3 linked regions of the Elephas maximus indicus genome follow. The protein of the gene in region 2 interacts with the protein of the main gene of each other region in a biochemical or structural test. Links are inferred from orthologs where the notes say so. Each region holds a gene or a part of one and is shown on either strand. Other genes may lie near its edges. The genes, in order: TNFSF13, TNFRSF13B and TNFSF13B.

The links.
Region 1: the proteins of TNFRSF13B (region 2) and TNFSF13 form a complex in vitro, tested with the Homo sapiens proteins (2 studies listed by BioGRID and IntAct). The link is inferred for Elephas maximus indicus from reciprocal best matches to the Homo sapiens genes TNFRSF13B and TNFSF13.
Region 3: the proteins of TNFRSF13B (region 2) and TNFSF13B form a complex in vitro, tested with the Homo sapiens proteins (3 studies listed by BioGRID and IntAct, with this or other methods). The link is inferred for Elephas maximus indicus from reciprocal best matches to the Homo sapiens genes TNFRSF13B and TNFSF13B.

The regions. Positions count from the first base shown.
Region 1 is NC_064837.1:13,215,116-13,222,390, forward strand, and holds TNFSF13 (tumor necrosis factor ligand superfamily member 13), read right to left. Parts: upstream 3,021-7,275; 5' UTR 2,683-3,020; coding exon 2,434-2,682; intron 2,092-2,433; coding exon 2,013-2,091; intron 1,888-2,012; coding exon 1,840-1,887; intron 1,703-1,839; coding exon 1,584-1,702; intron 1,393-1,583; coding exon 1,254-1,392; intron 1,021-1,253; coding exon 911-1,020; 3' UTR 897-910; exon of another isoform or gene 745-896; 3' UTR 130-744; downstream 1-129. Other genes in the region: TNFSF12 (tumor necrosis factor ligand superfamily member 12), read right to left, coding at 4,260-4,511, 4,712-4,836. UniProt on the Homo sapiens protein: Cytokine that binds to TNFRSF13B/TACI and to TNFRSF17/BCMA. Plays a role in the regulation of tumor cell growth. May be involved in monocyte/macrophage-mediated immunological processes.
Region 2 is NC_064820.1:215,783,424-215,790,668, reverse strand, and holds the start of TNFRSF13B (tumor necrosis factor receptor superfamily member 13B), read right to left. Parts: upstream 3,022-7,245; 5' UTR 2,989-3,021; coding exon 2,928-2,988; intron 1-2,927. UniProt on the Homo sapiens protein: Receptor for TNFSF13/APRIL and TNFSF13B/TALL1/BAFF/BLYS that binds both ligands with similar high affinity. Mediates calcineurin-dependent activation of NF-AT, as well as activation of NF-kappa-B and AP-1.
Region 3 is NC_064841.1:73,993,739-74,000,790, reverse strand, and holds the start of TNFSF13B (tumor necrosis factor ligand superfamily member 13B), read right to left. Parts: upstream 3,048-7,052; 5' UTR 2,858-3,047; coding exon 2,507-2,857; intron 2,409-2,506; coding exon 2,321-2,408; intron 1-2,320. UniProt on the Homo sapiens protein: Cytokine that binds to TNFRSF13B/TACI and TNFRSF17/BCMA. TNFSF13/APRIL binds to the same 2 receptors. Together, they form a 2 ligands -2 receptors pathway involved in the stimulation of B- and T-cell function and the regulation of humoral immunity.

The sequences.
Region 1 (7,275 bases), on a different chromosome or scaffold from region 2:
TTCTGATCCTGGGGGCCCCCAATACCTTCGTCCAGTAGGGCGCGCGAGAGGAAAGTTGGGAGGACAGGGAAATGCCGGTACAGGAATAGGACTGAGGCGAGGCAGTGGGGGAAATGAATCCGGGGTATCTATCATTCATTGTCTTTTATTTAACTTTGAGCAAGGCTTGAGCAGAAAGAACCGCTCCGAGGAGTAAGGCAAGACCAGCACCCGGCCGTGCGATCCATCCAGGGCTCCCCAGGGACCCACCCTAGGCCAAAGGGGCTTGGAGTGGCCTGTCACGCCAAGGGAGTGGAGAGCATGAAAGCTAAAATTTGGGACCCGAAAAGTAATGTGGCTGCGAAGGGACCGTCGTCGGGTACCCCCAGCAAAGGAGTGCATAAGAAATGCACCTCTGGAGATAGGGATGGAAACTGATGCTCAGTAGATGGAGAGGAGAAAGTGTATGGAACGTAGTAGCCGGTAGTGTAAGGACGAGGCTTCTTACGGTGCGAAGAGGCAGGATACCTCGAAAGGGGTGTGGCATAGGGCACCAGGGGCTTTCCTAAGTGTTGGGAGAGAGGCTTCGTGGACCTCTACCAACAGGCAGGATGATTCCCTCAAACTGCCGCTAGATGGTGGTGCCGTTCCGGAAGCATCCAGTGAGACCCATAGCAGGTCAGGACAATGATTGACCCCTTTCCCCCCTGGACGGGGCATAAAAGCAAGATCTTCTAGCTCTTTAATATCCAAGAAATCATAGGCCTGGGAGTGGGGAAGGAAGGAAAAGGGAGGACCGGAGAGTCATGAAGTCACAGTCAGGAAAAGGCCTCTGTTCCTGCTCATTCCCAGTCCTCTGGTCAGCTCTTGGTTATCTCCAGCATATACCCACCCTGGTCTTCCAAGCTCAGACCCACCTTTCATAACACAATCATAGTTTCACAAGCCCCAGGAAGGTGCCATGTGGAGAGAGGCTAAGTTTGGCCCTTGCCCGGGGGATTATGACACTCAGAATATCCCCTTGGTATAAATGGAAGACACCTAAGAAAGGGGAGAAAAATGATGCTCAGTGAGGCACAGCCATCGTTCCATGTGGTCTGATGTCTCCCCCTCCCTTCTGCAGCTCCACCTTTCCTCTGCTTCCTGCAAGAACCTCACAACTGCCTCTCCACCTAGGGCTCCCACCCCAATCATAGAGCCCTGCATCAGTCCCACTAGATCAGAGACCTGTCCCGCTCTCCTCTCATCCACTCCCCTGCCTGCATGCTTCTCACCTGCACTGTAGCAGCTATTGTAGGCCCGGGCAGGGTTGGAGGGCATACTTCGTACACATCGGAATAGAGTCTCCTCCCTTCCCTGGCCCTCCCGAGATACCACCTGACCCATGGTGAAAGTCACATCGTGGAACAGGACCTGGTAGGGCAGGGAGGAGATAAAACGGAATGGCATGGCCCAGGTCTAGGAGGTCTCAGGAGCCCTGAGGCAAGGAATGAAGAACGGTCTTCTAAGCTTGGAATGGACAAAGGGACCGGGCCATCCAGGCTGTGGGAGAACAGGGAAGAGACCTCCGGATCCCCAGGTGAGGTACAGGGTATGCCAGTTACCTGGCTATAGAGCAGATAAATTCCAGCCTCCCAGACTCGGACCACATATCCGCGGGCCTCCAGGCCTCTACCACGCCTGAGAGCTGGTTGCCACATCACCTCTGTCACATCAGAGTCCTCTGGAGGTGAGAAGTGTGGCAGTCAGGGTTTCTGTGCAGTCTCAGACACTTGATGGATTCACTTGGACCCAGATGCCAGCCCCAAATCCCCCAGTTCCTGCCTCTCCCGCAAAGCCATTATTTAAAACAGTGCTCACCCTTGGAGGTGATGTTAACGGGAACAAGGTGCAGGACTGAGTGCTTCTCTGAGGAGAGAAGAAGAAATCTCAGCAGGGCCCACTTACCCCTGCTGCCCTATTCTCATTCTCCCCTCTCCCCATTCCATGCTGCTTGATCACCTCCCACCCCTGCGGCACCCCTGGGGCCTCACTCCTCTGTTTTGGGGTGAGCACTGCTCTCCTCCTCCGAGATTGCTCCCCATTCTCCCAGGCTTCCAGGACCTCAGGGCTCTGTTCATGGAAAGAGGGTCAGGGTTAGACAAAGATGCAAGGGTCCCAGCCAGCCTTCCTTCCAGCCCTCCCTCCCACCCCACGAATGCCTCACTTCTTTCATGCACCTTTCCCCAGCACCCTAAGTCTTGGTGCTGGCTGTCCTCCAGGATCTGTTAGGTATGAGAACCATTAATCTTTAACAGTTTCCTTTCCTGGAATGGCCACTCCCTTGACTTCCAGACCCGGGACCCTCTCTTACACCCTCTTGTAGCTTTGCAGACCAGGAGACAGGACTGAAGAAGCCCGGAAACCCTCTGCCACCCATCTTTCTCTCCCAGACACCCTTCTCCCCTCACTCACCTGCTCCCAGAGGCTCTGCCAGGCCTGCCCATCCCCCTTCCGGGAGGGTCCTCCGGTCCTCTGCAGCCGGCTCACCTCTCTCCTTAGGGTTTGCAGCTCTGCTTGTTGCATCATTAGAGCCATGGCGCAAGCCACAGCCCCCAGAGCTGCCCCCCAACTCAACCAGAGGGCAACTGAGAGTGCCGGGTCTCGAGCTGGGCCGCCCGTGTCGCCCCGGGGGGCTACTGAGGAAGGAGACGAGGCCAGCATGAGCTGGGGATACTGCTGACAGCCGTGGCCTCAGAAGTGGGGTGGCAGGGAGGTGACAGCGAGGATGGGGGTGCGGGCACCGGTGCAGAAGGGAAGAAGGGTGTTACGCAAAGGAGAAATAAAAACAACGTGAGGATAAAAAGAGGGAAGAGGAAAGCAAGCTAGGGGTACTGTCTGGTACGCCTGGCACCCCTCTGTGGGGCCAGTGTTGCCTCTCAGACCCCTATCCCCCTCCCCCAGCCTGAGGAGAATCTGGAGTGGGTCTCTCTCGGAAGGACAGGGCTGCCAGTGACACCCAGGGGGAGCGGCCTGAGCGCAGGAGCCCGGGGCGGCCCCAGAAGTGGGGGAGGGAGGGCTGGCGGCTCTGGGGCATGGTGCCAGGAGGAGGGATGGAGGGACAAGTTGGCAGTGTTGAGGGTCAGGGGCGAGGACAGTAGACCATCTGGCTAAGGTGTGGGGGAGATCTCTGGGGAAGTTTCTACAGGTGACTGAGGTGGGGCAGGAGGGGTATGGGTGGGTGGGGAGGAGAACCAGGGTCGCGAAAGCCAGAGACTGGCTGAGCCCTGGGGTTAAGGCCGGGCCGGGTGTGTTGGAATAAGGCCTGTACTGCTCCCTGTGCTGAACTTGGCAAGCAAGAGACTTCCTGTTTCCTGAGAAAAACTCTTACATAATGCTATGGATGAAAAGAGAAAGAGAAACAGACAGGCACAAGCACTCCAGCCACTGTAGGCTTCCTCTCTGGACCCAGGGTCCGTGTGCCTGTGTCCTGGGCCCCCTTCAGGCCTGCTCCCACCCCAAATCCCAGCCAGGACCTTCGCCAGCTTCTGCCAAAGGTCCCCAGATGGCCAAGAGGAAGGGCCCTGCTCCTCCCAGCCAGGGATTCCCCCGCAGGAGGAAGCCCGCCTCCTAGGCAAATGAGGCCAGTTTGGCAGCACCTTGGCATAGAGTGATTTCTTCCTAGGCGGTTGGCCTTTCTTCTTCTGGCTCAAGCCTCAGGGCAGGAGGCATGTAGGCCCCGAAGTCCAGACCGCTTCCCATGGTCTTCGGCTACCCTTAGAATACCCCCCCAAGGCCCCAATAAAGAGAGAGACTATGACTTATTTTCTTTAATATCCATTTATCAACATTTTGTCACAATAATAATAAAATAATATCTGTTCTAAAAATCCACAGGGACACATCAAGGTGGAGCTGGTCTTGGTCTCCTACTCCTCACATTTGGGGACACCTGGCCTTGTCCCAGTCGCTTCGGTTTCCTGCCACCAGGTCCAGCCCCGATTAGTGCCTGAAGAGGGGTCCTCTGGACCCATCTTTGCCCAGAGAGTACAGTAAACACAGTGTCCTGGGGGCCGTGGTCAGGGTGGGAGTCAGGAGATAAATGGGGGAGTAGAAAGGCCAGGGCTTTGTGAGGTGGAGAGCCCGAGACTGTAAGGGAAGAATGGGGCTATGTATGTGGGATGGCAACAAGTGAACAAGCCCGAGGCCTCCAGAGGGAGGAGGTCTGGAGTGAGGAGCAGTTTGGGGCTGGAGTGCTGTGGGGAGCCAGCAGCCTGGGAGAACTTTGAGACCAGAGCCCCTCAGTGAATTTGGAAGAGTCCGAAGTAGGTGAGGAAAGGGGCAGCCTTGAGATGGGCCCTGGGGAGGGTGCGGATCCGAAGAGAGGACCCTGGCCGCAGGGGCAACAGCCCAGACACCTGGCAGAGGCGCAGCTGGGGCCCAAGGGAGCTGGCCGCGGTGGCGGAGAACTCCTCCAGGCAGCGCAGGGCCAGGGCCTCATCAACCAGCAAGTCCAGCTTCAGGTAGACAGCCTTTCCCTCATCAAAGTGCACCTGGGGCAGGGGGAGGGCAGGCAGAGTCCAGGCCTTTGCTTGCCCTCAGCTCAGTTTCAAATTTCCTGAGAGACCCAGGTAGCCCATCCCCGCCTCCAGCCCCAAGCTCTCCCTCTCCAGCCTCTAGCTTACCCCCCCTCTCCGGAACCAAACCTTCTCCCTCATTTACTGCTTTGGCCATGGAGCCAGGTGGGGCTTACCTGACAGTACAGGTAGTAGAGCCCAGCCCGAGTGACTCTGAATTCCCCACGCTGCCGGTCATAGCGCAGCGGGTTGGAGCTGTTGATTTTGGCCTCCTCCCAGCCACTCACCGTCCCGTCCACACCTGAACATCGATGTTCAGAGATGAGGAAAGCTCCCCCACACTCCCCAGGGATCCGCTGACTCTATAAACATTTGGGGCCCACTTTACCCAGAAGATAAAAAGATCACCCAGGGCAAAAGGAGGAGCCAATTCCCATGGAGCCCAAAGTATAATAGTTCTGTGTAGAAATCTAACGTGTGTATGATTGAACATGCAGACGAAAGGACCGGAAAGATACAGAACAAGTTACCGTCAGTGGTCACTTCTGGGGAGAAGAGTAGGATTGAAGAAGAGGGGGGACTTTTATAGTTAATACTTGACTTTTATATTTTACCTCATCTATGTCTACATTGCTTGCCTTTTTACCTTGAAATTATATTCATACGTTATTTGAATTATTAGAATTACAAATAAAATGACACAGAAATGTCTGCCACTGATGAATGGATAAATGAAATGTCAAAAACTCATACAGTGGAAAACAGTATTATTCATCCATAAAAAGGAATAAAGTACTGGCACACGCTACAAACGTGGGTAAACCTTGAAAACAATATGCTGAGTGAAAGAGGCCAGTCACAAAAAGCCACGTTGTATGATTTCATCTGTACGAAATGCCCACAGTAGGTAATTTCCTAAAGACAGAAAGTAGGCCTGGGGTAGGGAGGAATAGGGGAATTGGACGGTGATAGCTAAAGGGTAAAAACCAAACCAGCTGCGTCAAGTCAATTCTGACTCATGGCGACCCCATGTGTGTCAGAGTAGAACTGCACTCCATAGGGTTTTCAATGGCTGTGATCTTTCAGAAGTAGATTGTCAGACATTTCTTCTGAGGTGCCTCTGGGATGATTTGAACCGCCAACCTTTAGGTTAGTAACCAAGCACTTAACCATCTGCACCACCCAGGGACTCTAGCTAAAGGGTATGGGGATTGTTTTTGAGGTGAAGAAAATGTTCTAAAATTGATGGTGGTGATGGTTGCACAACTCTGTGACTATACTAAAAACTAAAACCCCTGAATTATACACTTAAAATAGGTGAACTGTGTGGGATATGAATTCTCTCTCAATAAAGCTCTCACCCAAAAAAAAAAAAAAAAAAAAAATCTAGAGCTAGGGTAATTGTAAATTACAAGAAAAGAAGTGCCTTCCCAGGTCTTCCATGGTCCACCCTTTTCAGCCTCTCCAGTTCAATCTCACACACTTCCCAATTCACGATAGCCCAGACACTCTGGCCGCCTTTCTGTACCTGCCAGACACCAAACCCATTCTCCCTAATGAGCTTCTTACTACTCTCCCCTCTCCCCACATCACTCTTCCCTGAGCTGGCACCTTCTATCCCTCACGTGTCAGCCGGTCTGAGACCTTCTGTGGCCACCAGTATAAAATAGCCAGGCCCACTCCTGCCTCCATTAATCTCTTCCCATCACCCTGTTTCAGCTCAGTCATCAACATCAGAAATTATTTCATTTATGTATGTGTTCAGTTGGGATGTGATTCCCCTACCAGGGCAGAGACAAAACCAAAAAACCAAACCCACTGCCATGAAGTCAATTCAGACTCATAGGGCAGGGACAACCTTGTCTTATTCACCACTGTCTACCCTAAGGCGCCAGGTAGGCACGCAGTAAACACTGCTAGGAACATGCTGGACATGGCCACAGCCTGTTCCCGGTTCTCCTTGGCTGGGCCTCAAGGAGTCTCTGCAGTTGCCTTCTCCAGCCCCTCTCCCTCTACCAGCCCCTGGGCTCTGTCCTTGACATGTTTTCAAGCCAGGTACTCTCACTGGACATTTTCATTCCCACCCATGGGTTTACCATGATCTACATCGTGCAGACTCCAGATGCCTAACTCCATTATTTCTTGTTCTTTCTCTTCCTGCTAATACCACCATTTGACTAGCCACGTTGTTGTTGCTATTAGGTGCCTTTGAGGCAGCTCTGACTCACAGAGACCCTATGTACAACAGGCTACATACAACTGACTAGCCATGGGCTCCTCAAACTCATCTGGACCCGAACTGAACTTGTCTCCTCCCCATCCCCCTCAAACTTGCTTTACTGTCTGTATTCCACTTCGAGCTCATAGTCTTCCACCCACCGGGTACCCAAGCCTCCTTCTCCTTTACCAACTTTATTCATTGATCTCCAGCTCCTATCAATCCTGCCCCCTACATAACTCTGCCCCATCCCCCCTGCCAGCCTGGTCCCTGCCATTTCTCACTGGGACTTCCTGTTTCCAACCTTACCTCCTCCTGGTTATTCCTTACACACAGTCAGAGTGATCTGAGCTGCTTCTCTTTGCTTTAATCCTTCGAATGGTTCACCTTAGATTAACTTCATATCCCACCTGTGACCTGGCTCCTGTCCTCTTCTCCAGCCTTATGCCCCATCCTGCCCTTCTAGCATTTTCTGCTTCAGCCACACAGAACTTTTCGCAGTCCTCCAGACTCTTGGTAAAC
Region 2 (7,245 bases):
CGCTACATGTTGCATGATACCATTTCTATGAAATGTCCAGAATAGGCAAACCTATAGACACAGGAAGAGGATCAGTGGTTGCCCAGGGTTTCAGAGAGAAGAGCAAGAAGGAATGAAGAGTGACAAAGTTTCTTTTTAGGGTGACAAAAATATTCTAAAATTAGATATGACGATGGTTGCACAACTCTGTAAATATACTAAAAAACGTTGAATTGTACACTTGAAATAGAAGGACTTTATGGTATATAAGTGATATTTCAAAGCTGTTTATCCTAGGGGAGGCAGGAACCCGGCAGATAGAGGACAAGGAGGGAAGAAAGAGGTCATGGATTGAATTGCGTCCCCCAGAAATATGTGTAAAGTTGGTTAGGCCATGATTTCCAGTGTTGTGGGGTTATCCTCCATTTTGTGATTGTAATTTTATGTTAAAGAGGGTTAGGGTGGGATTGTTACACCCTTACTAAGGTCACGTCCCTGATCCAATGTAAACTGAGTTTCTCTAGGGTGTGGCCTGCATCACCTTTTATCTTACAAGAGATAAAAGGAAAGGGAAGCGAGCAGAGAGTGGAGGGACCTCGTGCCACCAAGAAAGAAGCACCAGGAGCAGAGTGCATCCTTTGGACCCAGGATTCCTGTGCGGAGAAGCTCCTAGTCCAGGGGGAGATTGATGACAAGAACCTTCCTCCAGAGTCAACAGAGAAAGCCTTCCCCTGGAGCTAACACCCTGAATTTAGACTTCTACTAGGCTTTGAGTGAATAAACTTTTGTTTGTTGAAGCCATCTGCTTGTGGTACTTCTGTTACAGCAGCACTAGATAACTAAGACAGGAGACTTTGATTATATGTCTTCTATACTTCAAATGGAAACCCTGGTGTTACTTCAAATGGAAACCCTGGTGGTGTAGTGGTTAAGTGCTATGGCTGCTAACCAAGGGCTCAGCAGTTCGAATGCGCTAGGCGCTCCTTGGAAACTCTATGGGGCAGTTCTACTCTTTTCTATAGGGTTGTTATGAGTCGGAATCAACTCAACGGCAGTGGGTTTGGTTTTTGGTATACTTCAAACGGAGCCCTGATGGTGCAGTGGTTAAGAGCTACAGCTGCTGACCAAAGGTCAGCAGTTCAAGTCCACCAGCCACTCCTTGGAAACCTATGGGGCAGTTTTTTTCTGTCCTATGGGGTTGCTGTGAGTCGGAATCGACTCAACAGCAAAGGGTGTGGGTATATATATATATATATATATATACATATATAAACACATACATATTTCAAACAGTGAGACTATACTCTCTATTAAAAAAGTAAATTTAAAAAACAAACGAAAGAAAAAAGAGATAGATCCCTGCTCCTTCCCCAATTTGAGTGGGGAAAAGGAGAGAGCTGTTGCCTATGCCCGACCCCAGTGCAAGCCCATGACTGGGTGGACAGCAGATTAGATGGGACAAACACAGCCTTAGCAAATTTTCCATTCATGGCCTAGAAGCCAACAAAGGCACCACCCACAGTGCCCGGATAACCAGAGGGTCCCAGTCCCGCTCCTTCTCCCACTGCCACCACCGGGGAACATGTAAAATCCCAGAAGCATATTGCAACCCCACAGACTAGCAAGAAAACCCCAAGACTGACCCCAGCCAAACAGAATGGAAGCTTGAGAAACAAATTCCATTGTTGTACCAGGAACAGAGAAAACTCTTTCTCGCACACCTGAGCCTGTGGCTGGTTCAGACTCCGGGCCACAGCCAGGACTCAGAAACAGGACAGATGCCTGAGATATGGGGATTGAGACTTGGCTGCACCAGTGAGGCCAGCGCAGCAAAGAGGGGGGATTCTCAGAGCACCTACCATGTTTCCTGAAGGGCCTTGGCTTGTTAACCAAAGAGCCCTGCTGTCACATTAGCTTAGAAAACCCCAGTTCAAGGAAGTCCAAGCATTTTTATTTGTTTGTTTACTACAGACCTCCTCAGAGCCTTTGCTATGGACTCTTCCAGAGGGGCCCTGGCAGATGCAAAGGACTTTTTTGATTTTGAGGAACATCTAGTGGGACAGGGGCTTATCTTTATTTTACAGTGGCGGGGAGGGGTTTGTCCGAGGTCTCACAGTGAGTCTGTGGGCAGCAGCCTTAGAAGCAAGTCTCCAGACTCTGGCCAAAGCTGACACTGCTGCTCCAGGCAGTCAGCATTCTGGCTGTCCCCTGAACCTGGGCCTGGACCCGGGCGATTTCATGCTGCGTCATCAGCAGTCTCTGGCCACTGTCTCTCTCAGAAATTTTCTATGTTTGAGCCCTTGCCTGGGTGCATGTCTGGGGGTGTGGTTGCTGAAGACAAAGGAGACTCAGAGAAAAGACAGGCTCCCGCCTGAGGAGAGGGGCCAGCAGCAGGGGCCAGGGCGTGCATGCTTGCTGCGAGGCCTGGGGCCCCTGACGGCCCCTCTGGGGCTAGGTCCCAACTGTGCCACGAAGGACTCAGACTTTCATCTGCTTTAGTGATTTATCCTTTGAATAAGCCTCTAAAACTCTCCATGGTAAAAATTCTACGGGATAAATGATTCATTGCTGAAGCTGGGTGAGGGGTGCGTGTAAATTTCAACACGAAAATAAAATATTCAAAAACTGCCCTGGCTCTTGATCCTCTGCATGGCTCAGAAGGGAGGGTCACAGTGGAAATTCCTGCCTCAATGACTGAGCCTCAAGCCTCGGCCCCCTCCTTACCTGGAATACAAGCCTCATACCTGCACCTTGAAGGCCCCCAAACTTGGGGCTGTCAGCATGCAGGGGCTTGGGGAGGCTCAGGGTTGCCCAAGCATCCCTGTGTGCTGTCCTTGCCACCGCCACCCATTGCTAACCCACACCTGGGCACTCCAGGCCCAGCCACCCTCCTCCCCCACAGCCCCTGCCTCCCAGACCCCAGCTGCAGGCCCTAGCAGGCTACTCACTTGGCTCCTCCTGGCCCGCCCCGCTCCGGACGCCGTGCCGGCTCCAGCCGAGGCCACTCATTACTCAGGATGTTTATTATTAGTCTTTGATTTGATTAGTGCCTGGGCTGTACTTCCTGGGTTTTCCCCGCAACCTACCAAATGTAAATCAGCACCTCTCCCTGCGCCTGCGTGCTCAGTCTCAGGAGCCAAGGTGGGTGGACATTGCCTCACACTCAGGGTTCCCATCAGGACGTCTGCTGGGCACCTACTGTGTGCTACCCACCAAGCAGGTAGAGAAATGAAGGCTGGCCTTCGCTTTGGGATGAAATACAAACCCTGGTACAGCTCCCACAACTCTCCAAACCCTGGCCCTTGCCCACTCATGGGCCTCACCTTTTGCCACCTACTATATTTTTATACATACCTCCGGAACCCTGGTGGCATAGTGGTTAAGTGCTATGGCTGCTAACCAAAGGGTCGGCAGTTCGAATCTACCAGGAGCTCCTTGGAAACTCTATGGGGCAGTTCTACTCTGTTCTCTAGGGTCGCTATGAGTTGGAATCGACTCGACGGCACTGGGTTTGGTTTTTTTTTATACATACCTCCAGCTCCAACAGGTTGAGTAGCTCTCTAGTCTCTGGGCATTTGCTCAGGCCCCTTCCTCTGCCTGGACCAACTTTTCCTATGGCATTGCCTGGCCAGCTCCTCCCCTGCTCCTTCTAGGCTCAGTTGAGGTATCACCTCCCCTGGGAAGCCCTCCCTGACTGCCCTGGGACACGTCAGATGCCCATTCTCTGATTGCTTAGCCCTACCCTTACCCCACCAAAGCACTTTCAAGGCTCAATACTAGAGTCTGAGACCTCGGTTGGAATCTTGGCCCTGTCCCCAACCCACTGGTGGCTTTGAGCAATTTGCTTAAACTCTGTGCTTCCATTTTCTCATAGGTTTATGAGGATGAAAGAGTTAGTACCATCAAGTTCTTAAAACCAGCTCTTGGCATACAGTGAGCTCTCAATAAACGATGATGAGGATTCATATACTGCAGCCCATGAGGCAGCGTACTGTGACTTTCTGTATATTTCTATGTCTTCCCAACTACTCTGAAACGCTCCCTCCCCCTATAGCAACGGCCAAGGCTGAAGTGCTAGGATTTGAAGCCAGGGAGCCCCAGGCAGTGAGGAAGAAATCTCAGAGGATGGGCAAGAGCCAGAGAGGTGGGGAGCAATGAGGGAAGTCCTCCCAGGAGCAGCTGGCTTGGAGCAGAGGTGGGGGAAGCAGGGCGGGACACAAGGCCAATTTGGATAGCAGGGAGCAGAGCAGGAGGGGAAGTACATTAACGTGCTCAACCTTGTCGATAATCAGAAAAATATAATTTAGGCAATAATGAAAAAACTATTTCTCGTCCATCGGGCTGGCAAAGTTTAAAGTCTGTCGACGTCAGGTGGTTGGGTGACACAGGAGTGGTGAACCCATGCACAGCTGGTGACAGAACAGGTCTGCATGCCATTTTGGAGGCTGGTTAAAACTCAGGTTGTGCTCACCCACCCGCAACCTTCTGTCCTCTATAAGCGCCCTGAGAAACGCCGCCCCTACACATGGACTTTCACTGGGGCATTGTTGGTAATAGTGGAAAACTGGGAACAATCTCAATGCCCACCCGGTAGAGGACGGCTAAAGAAGCTAGGTACACAGGTCATAGGAGGAATTCCACACGATTGTTTAAAAGGTGAAGTAGACCAGTGGAAGGGATATAAGAAGATCACCAGGACGTATCGTTGAGTGAAGAAAGGTAGCTATATAGCATGATACTTACAGCATAATGCCTTTTAGTAAACACACACACACACACAATGTGGCCATTGTGTGTTCTGTGACTACTTATGATGAATGCGATGTGGAGGAAGCAGTCTGGGAGGACACACAGGATGACAGTGGCCATTTTGGGTAGAGCAAGAAGGAGCTAGGATTGAAGGTGATGGTGAAAGGGACTTTAGCCTTGTTCTTAACCGTTTGATTTCTACCTGGAAAAGATACTCATGTTTTATTTGTGTCGTGAAAGTCATAAAAGCCACAGTGGATATATAAGCTGGACTGGTGGGATGGATTTGTGAGCAAGGGGTGGTGGTAGATCCATTGCCTGTTGGAACTGGATGAGCCCAGAGCATCTGCTGGTCCCTCCTTGGGCCCTCCTTACCTTCTGTTTGCATACCCCTAGGGTCGGGACTCTGCCCACCTCACAAAAAGCCAGCTCCCTGGGGGTTAGCTCTGCCTGTTAGAAAACTCCTGTCTGTGGAGCAGAAATATGCCTTCCAATCTCGGACTTACTGGGCTGATTGCTGCCTTTGACCCCACACAGATTGTGGGTCAATGTGATAGTGTTTGGGTGTTTTAGAGTTAGCATGTGTTAGCATGTGAAATGAAAAACAAGCAAAGTCCAGCTGGACTTTTAGGGTGGCTGAGAATTGAACGGTAGTTTCCCTAATGTCTCGTCGTCGATCACACCTTGCTGAAGTTCAAATGTGGTTTAGAGAGAATGGGTTTTATTTGCTTTTTATTTTCTCTAATTAGAGGTATAATTTACATGCAGCGAAGTGCCGGCATTGTAAGCGCACAGCTTTAGGAACCTTAGAGTCTGTGACACCAAGATGTGGGACGTTCGCAGGCCCAGAATGCTCCCTTGTCCCCCTTTCACCCACCCTAGACATAGCCACTCTCCTGCTTCACTCACCGTGGATTCACTTTGCCTGTTCCTGAGCTTCGTATAAACGGGGTCATACAACACGTCTGCTCCCCTTTTCCAGCTTCTTTCTCTTGATAATAGATTTTATTAGACCAGATGGATCAAAGCTGCGTGACTTTTTCAGACAAGTTGTTGAATCTCTGTGGGCCTCACTCTAAGACGAGCACTTTCTTCTGATGTGTCAAAGAGATCAAAGCAAAGCTCAAATAGGACAACCCAGAGGGGAGCACTTGTGGGCACCCTCCCATTGTCACACAAACATAAGGAATGATGACTATTGTTGTTCGAGGGATGCTCAGACCTCAGGTCTGATGAAAATAGATTCCTCTCTGCACCGGGCTCCCTCAGAACAGGTGCCAGAGGTTTCTGAACCTCATTCTGAATCTTCCAAACCTCATTCTGAAACCAACGTTTTCTGGGCTATCTCCCAGGGGGTACAGGTTCTAATTTTAAACTCCATGGTTGAGATGACAAAAGAGCTTTGGGACCCAGAGTAAAGATACCTGGTAGACCTCAAGATTTGGGAGCCGATCCATTGACGTATGTACTTAAATAGTTAAAATATGCACATGGTAAAAAAAAAAAAAATTAAACAGCATGAAAGCGAATGTAGTGAAAAGTATCTTTCTCTCCCCTCCAGGAATCCTAGCTTGCCATTTCCCAGCTCAGCAGCAACAGCTATTGGAAGATCTTTCTTGTTCACTCGCCTTTCCAGCCAAGCCCACACATTCTCAAATACGTGTATGTAACTTCTATGTTTTGCCTTCCCGCGACCATTTTACACAATTACCAGACTGAACACACTGTTTAGCACGCTTCTTTTCTCAGTATACCCTGCCAGTCAGTCCTTACTTTTTATAAGAGTTCTTAAAATGCAGGCATAGTAACGATAGGGAGCATTTGTGCAGCACTTATTATGTTCCAGGCACTGTTCCCAACACTTCCCATATGCTCCCGTAACATGTTTTTTATCTTCTTTGCATCTCACTGAATGGCTTGCATTCCTTGAGGTGGAATTACTTGGTCAAAGGGAATATTACATTTTAACCAATATTTCCCAATGAAATTGTTCATATTTACAAAAGAGGGTCTGCAATACTTGATCGAAGTGTCGTGGTCTTCTCGGAGGCAGCAGGGAGTGTTTTTCTCTCTTTCCCGCCCTCCTCCCATCTCTCCCGGGGCTTGCTGCCACCTCTGTGGCCTTTTTGAAGCCGTGCTGTTGAACCTGCTCTAATGGAGTACTACAGGTAGGACAAAAGCAAAAGTACCCAAAAAGGGCTATTTCTTAGAAATGCAGTGAAAGCCCTGATTTTCATGATTGAAATTTACATAAACGACTCATTTTTCTATAGTGAATTTCCTCCTTTGCTAATGTACCCGTCCCCTCGATGTGTACTAATTTCTCAGAAACACTAGATGCCATTAGCAAGACGCACTTCAAAGAGCGAACAGTGGTTTCTTTACAATAACAGCCTCAGCCTTTCGTGGGGAAGAGCTACTTTCTTATTTTCAAAAATTTCCCCAAAACTTTTATTATGTAAAATTTGAAACATAGAGAAAAGTTAAAAGTCAAGTACAATGAACACCTGTACAAAT
Region 3 (7,052 bases), on a different chromosome or scaffold from region 2:
AATAAATGCCAGAAGGGCTAATGAGTTAAAAATCAAATAATAAAAAAGCCAGAGGAGAAAATATTAGTAGGACAGACTATTTAAGAGATCACAAAAGAATATTTTTAGCTTTAATGTCTCAGAGGAAATATTTACACCAAATTTTTGATAAACAATACGTCTAATATATAAATAGTTCATTCAAAACTGTAAAACATTAAGCCAGACAAATGGGGGAAGTTATAAAATCTGCAGAAGACAAAATTTGAAGTAATTAAAATATGTGGAAGGAAGTTCATTTTTGTTAGTAAGCAAACAAGTTAAAACAAATTTCAGATACTGTCGTACAACCACTAAACCAGAGAAAATAACTTTTAAAAGATAAAAATCTAGAAAGCATGTACAGAAAGCAGTGGATTAATTTGCTGTTACTTGCATTTACGACTCTTTTTGAAAGCAATGTGGCAATAGCTTGCAAGGGTGGTAAAGATCTTCATTCCCTGCAGCTCAGAAATTCCACGGTACCGAATTTATATTGAACATATAATTCTCAGAAGCATAATATATCTGCATAAAAATTTTAACATGTTCTGTCATAATAAAAAAATAAAAACAACCAGCATAACAACAACCAAAAAAAAAAAAAAAAAACCACTGCTGTTAAGTCGATTCTGACTCTAAAAAAATAAAAATAAAAACAACCATAGTAATAGTAGAATAAAAAATAAATTAATGTACATGTATGAGAATCACTTAGACATAGGGAAAAGTCCTATTGTATGATGATAAGTGAAAACAAAAAACATAAAACAGTATATATACATTATTATTTTTAACTTTGTAGAAAATATAGACGATAAAATATGAAAATAATTGACCTGTTAAAGTCACAACAGTGTCTGTGTTTCCTAGTTTAAAAGTGCTTAAATCCAAGTGTTAACTGATAATTGGCACAAAGGTATGATAATTAGGTACATAATGTTTTGATTTTATAAAATAAGGGAGAAATTTTTTCATGAGCAAGTCATAGAGTAAAAGAAGAAATAGATTTATAGTCAAAGCACTGTGTGTATGTGTGGGTGGGTGGGTGTGTGGGTGGGTGGGTGGGTGGGTGAGTGGGTGGATGGCTATGTAATAAAGAGTCCTTCCCTAGTCTACCACTGACTAGGTCTCTCACACACATTTCCTCACAAGAAAAAAAAGTAAATAAATAATTACATGTGTTTTGTTTACCCCACACAGTCACTGCGAGGGTTAAATGAAATAGTATGGGTGAAAACACCTCTTCTAATGCCTGCACATTCTAGGTGCACACACACACAAACACACACACACAAAAAACGTTCTTTCAACATCAAAGAGAGGTAATATCAGGGATTTGTTAACTTCCTAAATTGTAATATTAATACAATCCAGTACTCTTCCTTAACCTAGGAAGTAAAGGAACTAGGACTGATCACTTTAGTACTCCCTCCTGACTCTGAGATTTTATAAATCTATAAATCCTGTGGAACATAAAGAAAGACAAAAATCACAAAAGAACTATCACAAGAAAAGTATAAATGCATGCTCTCGGAAGGGCATACCTTAACAAAATGTTTTAAAATCAGTGTATATATACATATATGGAAGCCCTGGTGGCATAGTGGTTAAGTGCTATGGCTACTAACCAAGAGGTCAGCAGTTCGAATCCACCAAGCACTCCTTGGAAACTCTATGGAGCAGGTCTACTCTGTCCTATAGGGTCTCTATGAGTTGGAATCGACTCGACAGCAGTGGGTTTATATATATACCCACACACACAATATATAGGTACATATAATGTATATGTATACATGTATATATATAAATGTTTTAAAAATGAGAAACAAAATTAAAGCACAGACATACACGGCCTCCCACTGTATAACCTTCACCTGCTTTCAAATAGTACCCCTCAGGAAATGTTTGCCTTTAACAGAATGACTCAGGTAAACAAAACATAATTCTAAAGTGACATGAAGTGGAGAGATTTTATTTTTGGAGGGATGGGCGATGCTTCTGGCATAGGGGTGTAGTGTCTGTTTGAGGAAACTCTGCGTTCCTTGTTTTCTCCTCTGTGCTTCAAGTACAGCTCGGATAAATACTTCTGTAGACAAAACTCTGCTCATTGGAAGACAGAACACGCCGTGCACCCTATTAAATCTGCCCTTGCTAGGGCTTTGCTATCAAGCCGAGTCTGGTTTTAACAGAAATTGCATAGTCTCTATTTAAGAGGCTTGGAGAGATTAAGCACACCCCTGTACCCCCAAATCTGATGTTAACACCTAAACCAGTAAACGCATCTGTCCCCAAAACCTACCTGTTTCTTCTGGAGTCTGAACAGCACGCTTGCTCCTGCTGCTTTGACTGGAGTTGCTGTCTCCTGGGGCTGGTGGTGCAAAGATCTCCTATTGACAGAAAAACCCCAAGTTATTGAAAAGACGTCTGAGGTCAGGGAGAGGCAGCTGTGTAGGAAGATTTGGGGCTGCAGCTGCTGGTAACTCACTTGCAGTCCGGGGGTGTCAGCTGGAGTTTCCCTCAAAGCTGCCGTGGGGGCTCCTGCTTCTGCTTTGGGGGGTGCTGGCAGTTGCTCAGCTTGGTAGAACTGCAGTTTCGCCCGGAGGCTCAGCAGCTCTGCTTGCAGGGTGGCCACTCGGTAGAAAGACACCACTGTCAGGCAGGAGGAGAGCAGGGCCAGCAGCAAGGTCACTGACAGGAGCTTTCCGTCTTTAGAGAACCAAGCAGAGGGGCTTTCCTTGTGAGGGAGGATGGGAACACACTCCTTAAGTTTCATTTCTTCTCTTTTCGCAAGGCAAGAAGAAAGGAGTAACTGCTCCCTGTCTGTGCAGTCATCCATTTCGCTACTTGAGCTTTGAAGGTTAGGGCCTTCAGAGTAAGTGACCACAGGGAATGGATCATTTCCTGTTATCTGTGTTTGTTGATGTCCTACATTTAACACATCACAGAGCTTGACTCCCCCAAGCAGGAGAGTTCTCCTGAGTTTTCTTCTTTCTTCCCTTCTGCATCTCTGCCCCTACGGTACAATAGGTTTTACTGGCATTCACCCTTCTAATGGATTGCTCAATCAGTCTTCCTCATTTCAGTTTCAGTTTTTGTAAGAATTTTATTGGCATCTCAGAACACTCATACACAAACGGGCCCCTAAATCTACCAGCTAAACTTTGAGTTTGGATTGGGATATGCAAGAGATAACTTGTCAGATTATACACATGCTTAAGAAGCTCACCCCGGGCATTATGAGAGAACTGTGTTGGTTGGGGCCATGTGGCTTTGGAAGGAAGAGGAAAAATATCATAAAATGTTCCTGCTGGCGTAATAAAAGCAATTAATGTGAAGGTCAGATAAGCTAAGTGCTTGAGCAGTGGCTTGTCCTTACATGGGGTTATGGATTTATTAACAGTTGTCCACTACGAAGTAAAATGAAGGACCCTTGAAAGAGGAAAGAAAACCAGCTGGGTATTGTTCTGTTCTTCTTATTATAACAATGTAATCCAAAGAATGTGACTAACAAATTTTAGAAACCGATTTAGATTAGATGTGAGGGGGAATGCATTTTTAAAGGAAACCTACATATATATATATATTTTTTCCTTCTAAGGCTCCCTGGCTAGGTGATCAATGATCCATGCAATCTGACCTCCTGATAGGTCTCCTTCCACCTCTGCTTCGCAAGTTTCAAGTCCCAGCTCAGTCTGATACTGTTTTAAGATGAAGCTGGCCTTATCTCCAATTCCCAGTAGCTCAATGCCACCCTTACAATTCTTTCCTTAAAGTACACTAAAAAAATTAGCTACTAAAAAAAAACACTCAAACCAAACACATTGCTGTCGAGCACATTCCGACTCATTATCTACTAGGTACACGTCGTATTGACTCTGGCCCAATCTAACGCACATGAAAACGGTCCCGACTCAAACAAGAGACACTTTCCTTTCAAACTCACCTTATTGTCAGACATGGTGACGCTGCCCAAGACTATTGCGCCCATTCCAGTCCTGCCTTGTCTTGATCTCTGTTCCCTGTCCATTTCCCAGTTTCTGGCTGTTCTGTCCTCAGCACCTAATATTGATTCATCACTCAACAAATATCATTGAGCCCTTACCAAGCCCTGGGGTAGGCACTACCCCCCTGTATGCTAAGACCGCTAAGCCTTAACTCTATCTCATTCGCATTTCTATGCTGTTGTGAAGAAAAGAAAATTAATGTAGGGAAGGATTCGGATCCCTGAATCCAGGGTTCTAATCTTGGCTCTACCACTTATTCACCTTAGGCAAATTAAACGTTTTTGTGATTAAGCTTCCTCATCTGTAAAATCAGATAATAATGGTCACTCTCTCTTGGGATTGTAACTTAGGCACGGACAGCATTGAGGATGCAAAAACCTTTTCATTCATTTTTACTTCTTACTTTCAAAATATAAATGTAATATTTTTATTACAAATACTGCTGTAATAGGCATTTTTATATATGTCTCCTTGTAACATTTGAAAGAATTTCCAAAATAAATCCCTGATGTAGGGGAAACAAGGGCACCGGTGGTGCAGTGGTAAAGCACTCAGCTGCTGATTGAAATGTTGGTGGTTTGAGCCCACCAGTTGCTTTGTGGGAGACAGTTGTGTCAGTCTGCTCCCATAAAGATTACAGCCTTGGCCGTGGGGACCACAGTCTCAGGGAACATCTAGCTCAATTGGCATGGCATCGTTTATAAAGAAAATGTTCTACATTCTGCCTTGGTGAGTAGCGTCTGGGGTCTCAAAAGCCTGTGTGTGGCTACCTAGGATACTCCAATGGTCTCACCTCTTCGAGAGCAAGGAATAATGAAGAAAACTAAAGATACAAGGGAAAGATTAGTCCAAAGGACTAATGGGCCACATACATCTACCACAGCCTCCACCAGATTGAGTCCAGTGCAACGAGATGGGTGCCTGGCTACCACCACTGACTGCTCTAATGGGGATCACAATAGAGGGTCACAGACAGAGGTGGAGAAAAATCCAGAACAAAATTCTAACTCGGTAAGAAAAGACCAGACTTGCTGGCCTGACAGAGACTGGAGAAGCCCTGAGAGTATGGTCCCCAGGCACTCTTTCAGCTCAGTAATGAAGTCACTCCTGAGCTTCACCCTTCAGCCAAAGATTGGGCAGGCCCATAAAATAAAAGGAGACTAAAGGGGCACACCAGTCCAGAGGCAAGAGCTAGAAGGCAGGAAAGAACAGAAAAGCTGGTAATAGGGAACCCAACGTTGAGAAGGGAGAGTGTTGACAGGTCATGGGGTTGTTAACCAATGTCATAAAACAATGTGTGTACTACCTGTTTAATGAGAAACTAGTTTGTTCTGTAAACCTTCATCTAAAGTACGATAAAAAAAAAAAAATTACAGCCTTGGAAATCCTACGGGGCAATCCTACTCTGTCCTATAGGGTCCCTATGAGTCAGAAACTACTGGACGACAATGGGTTTGGTCAGGTTCAGGTGGGGTAAGCACACTTTCAGTCTTACCAATTTTCTCCAAGTTACCCTCCAATGTTTTCCCATTTCCTAGCTACCCTACTCTTGCACGATGTCATCAGACTTATTAGTTTTTACCTGTCTATTGGCATTGTTACTTATTCCCTTGGCTTCCACAAGTTCCAGAGATCTTGTTACTAACTTGGTGCCCCAAATAAGCTGTTCTCTAATTGTTCAGGTAGAAGTCTTCTTTTATCAGTATGTAAACTTTTTGGAGTCAGACATCACATAAAACAATTCTTTTGTCACAGTTCTTGTTTCTAGGTTAATCAGGGTGAGGCATATTGGATAACATTGTAATTAAAAAATAGAATTCATTTGAGCATTTTATTACACACTTCTGACTTGACACTCATTCAGGTTGTATTTATAAAACTCATTGCCGTCGAGTGGATTCTGACTTATGGCGACCCTATAGGACGGAGTTGAATTGCCGCATAGAGTTTCCAAGGAGCGCCTGGTAGATTTGAACTGCTGACCTTTTGGTTAGCAGTTGTAGCTCTTAACCGCTACGCTATCAGGTTTTCCATATATGTATAAATGCATATATATATATGTATATATACATACGTGTGTGTATATATATATATACACATACACATATATACATACGGAAGCCCTGGTGGCGCAGCGGTTAAGAACTTAGCTGTTAACCAAAAGGTCAGCAGCTCAGATCCACCAGCTGCTCCTTGGAAACTCTATGGGGTGGTTCTACACTGTCCTATAGGCTTGCTATGAGTTGAAATTGACTCGACAGCAACGGATTTGGGTTTATATATATATATATATGTATGTCTATATATCCACACGCATATAGATGGATACATATAGAACCAAAACTAGAAATGAATTCAGGATTCAAGGCAGTAACAGAAACCAGTTACTCTCTACTTTCCACTCATAAGCCATTGAGCCATTGTTTTTCTCTGTGAGTGGGTGCTCTCCCACTTCTGCCTGGCCAATCCTCTCCAGTAAAATTCTGAAGGAAAGTGAATTAATTTAATTGTATTAGAAAACTATGTTGCCCTCTTTTGCTCAATTTGGCAAATATCTTCCTGTGAAACCAACTCAAGAGAGGGCCATTGGCTGGCGTATGTTCAGGCCATTTTAAAACAAGTGCTTGGTTCAAGCAGTGGGCAGTTCTGCTCAAAGAATAGGCCAGTGCTCCTCTGATGGGAAGACGGCTGTGAAGCTCCCCCCTGAAGCAGACACTGGCAAGCTTGCCCTACAGTTTGCATGTCCTCTACAAAGATCACGCCATTAAATTTTCTCTAAAAGCAGTCAGAAAACTAAGGGGGCATTCATGCTCTCTTAAATTTCTCATTAGACAAACGAAAGGAAGCTATTACTCCCTGAATCAAGGAACCGCTTCCTGTAGGGGAAATGGTTTGATAATAATTTAACTGAAATTCTGTTAAACCAACAGTATATTCATATTCATTGAATAACACACCGCAAGTTTATTCTCAGAGAAAAGGCTACTATACCTGAGCTACATATTTTAGAGTAAAATATATATATAT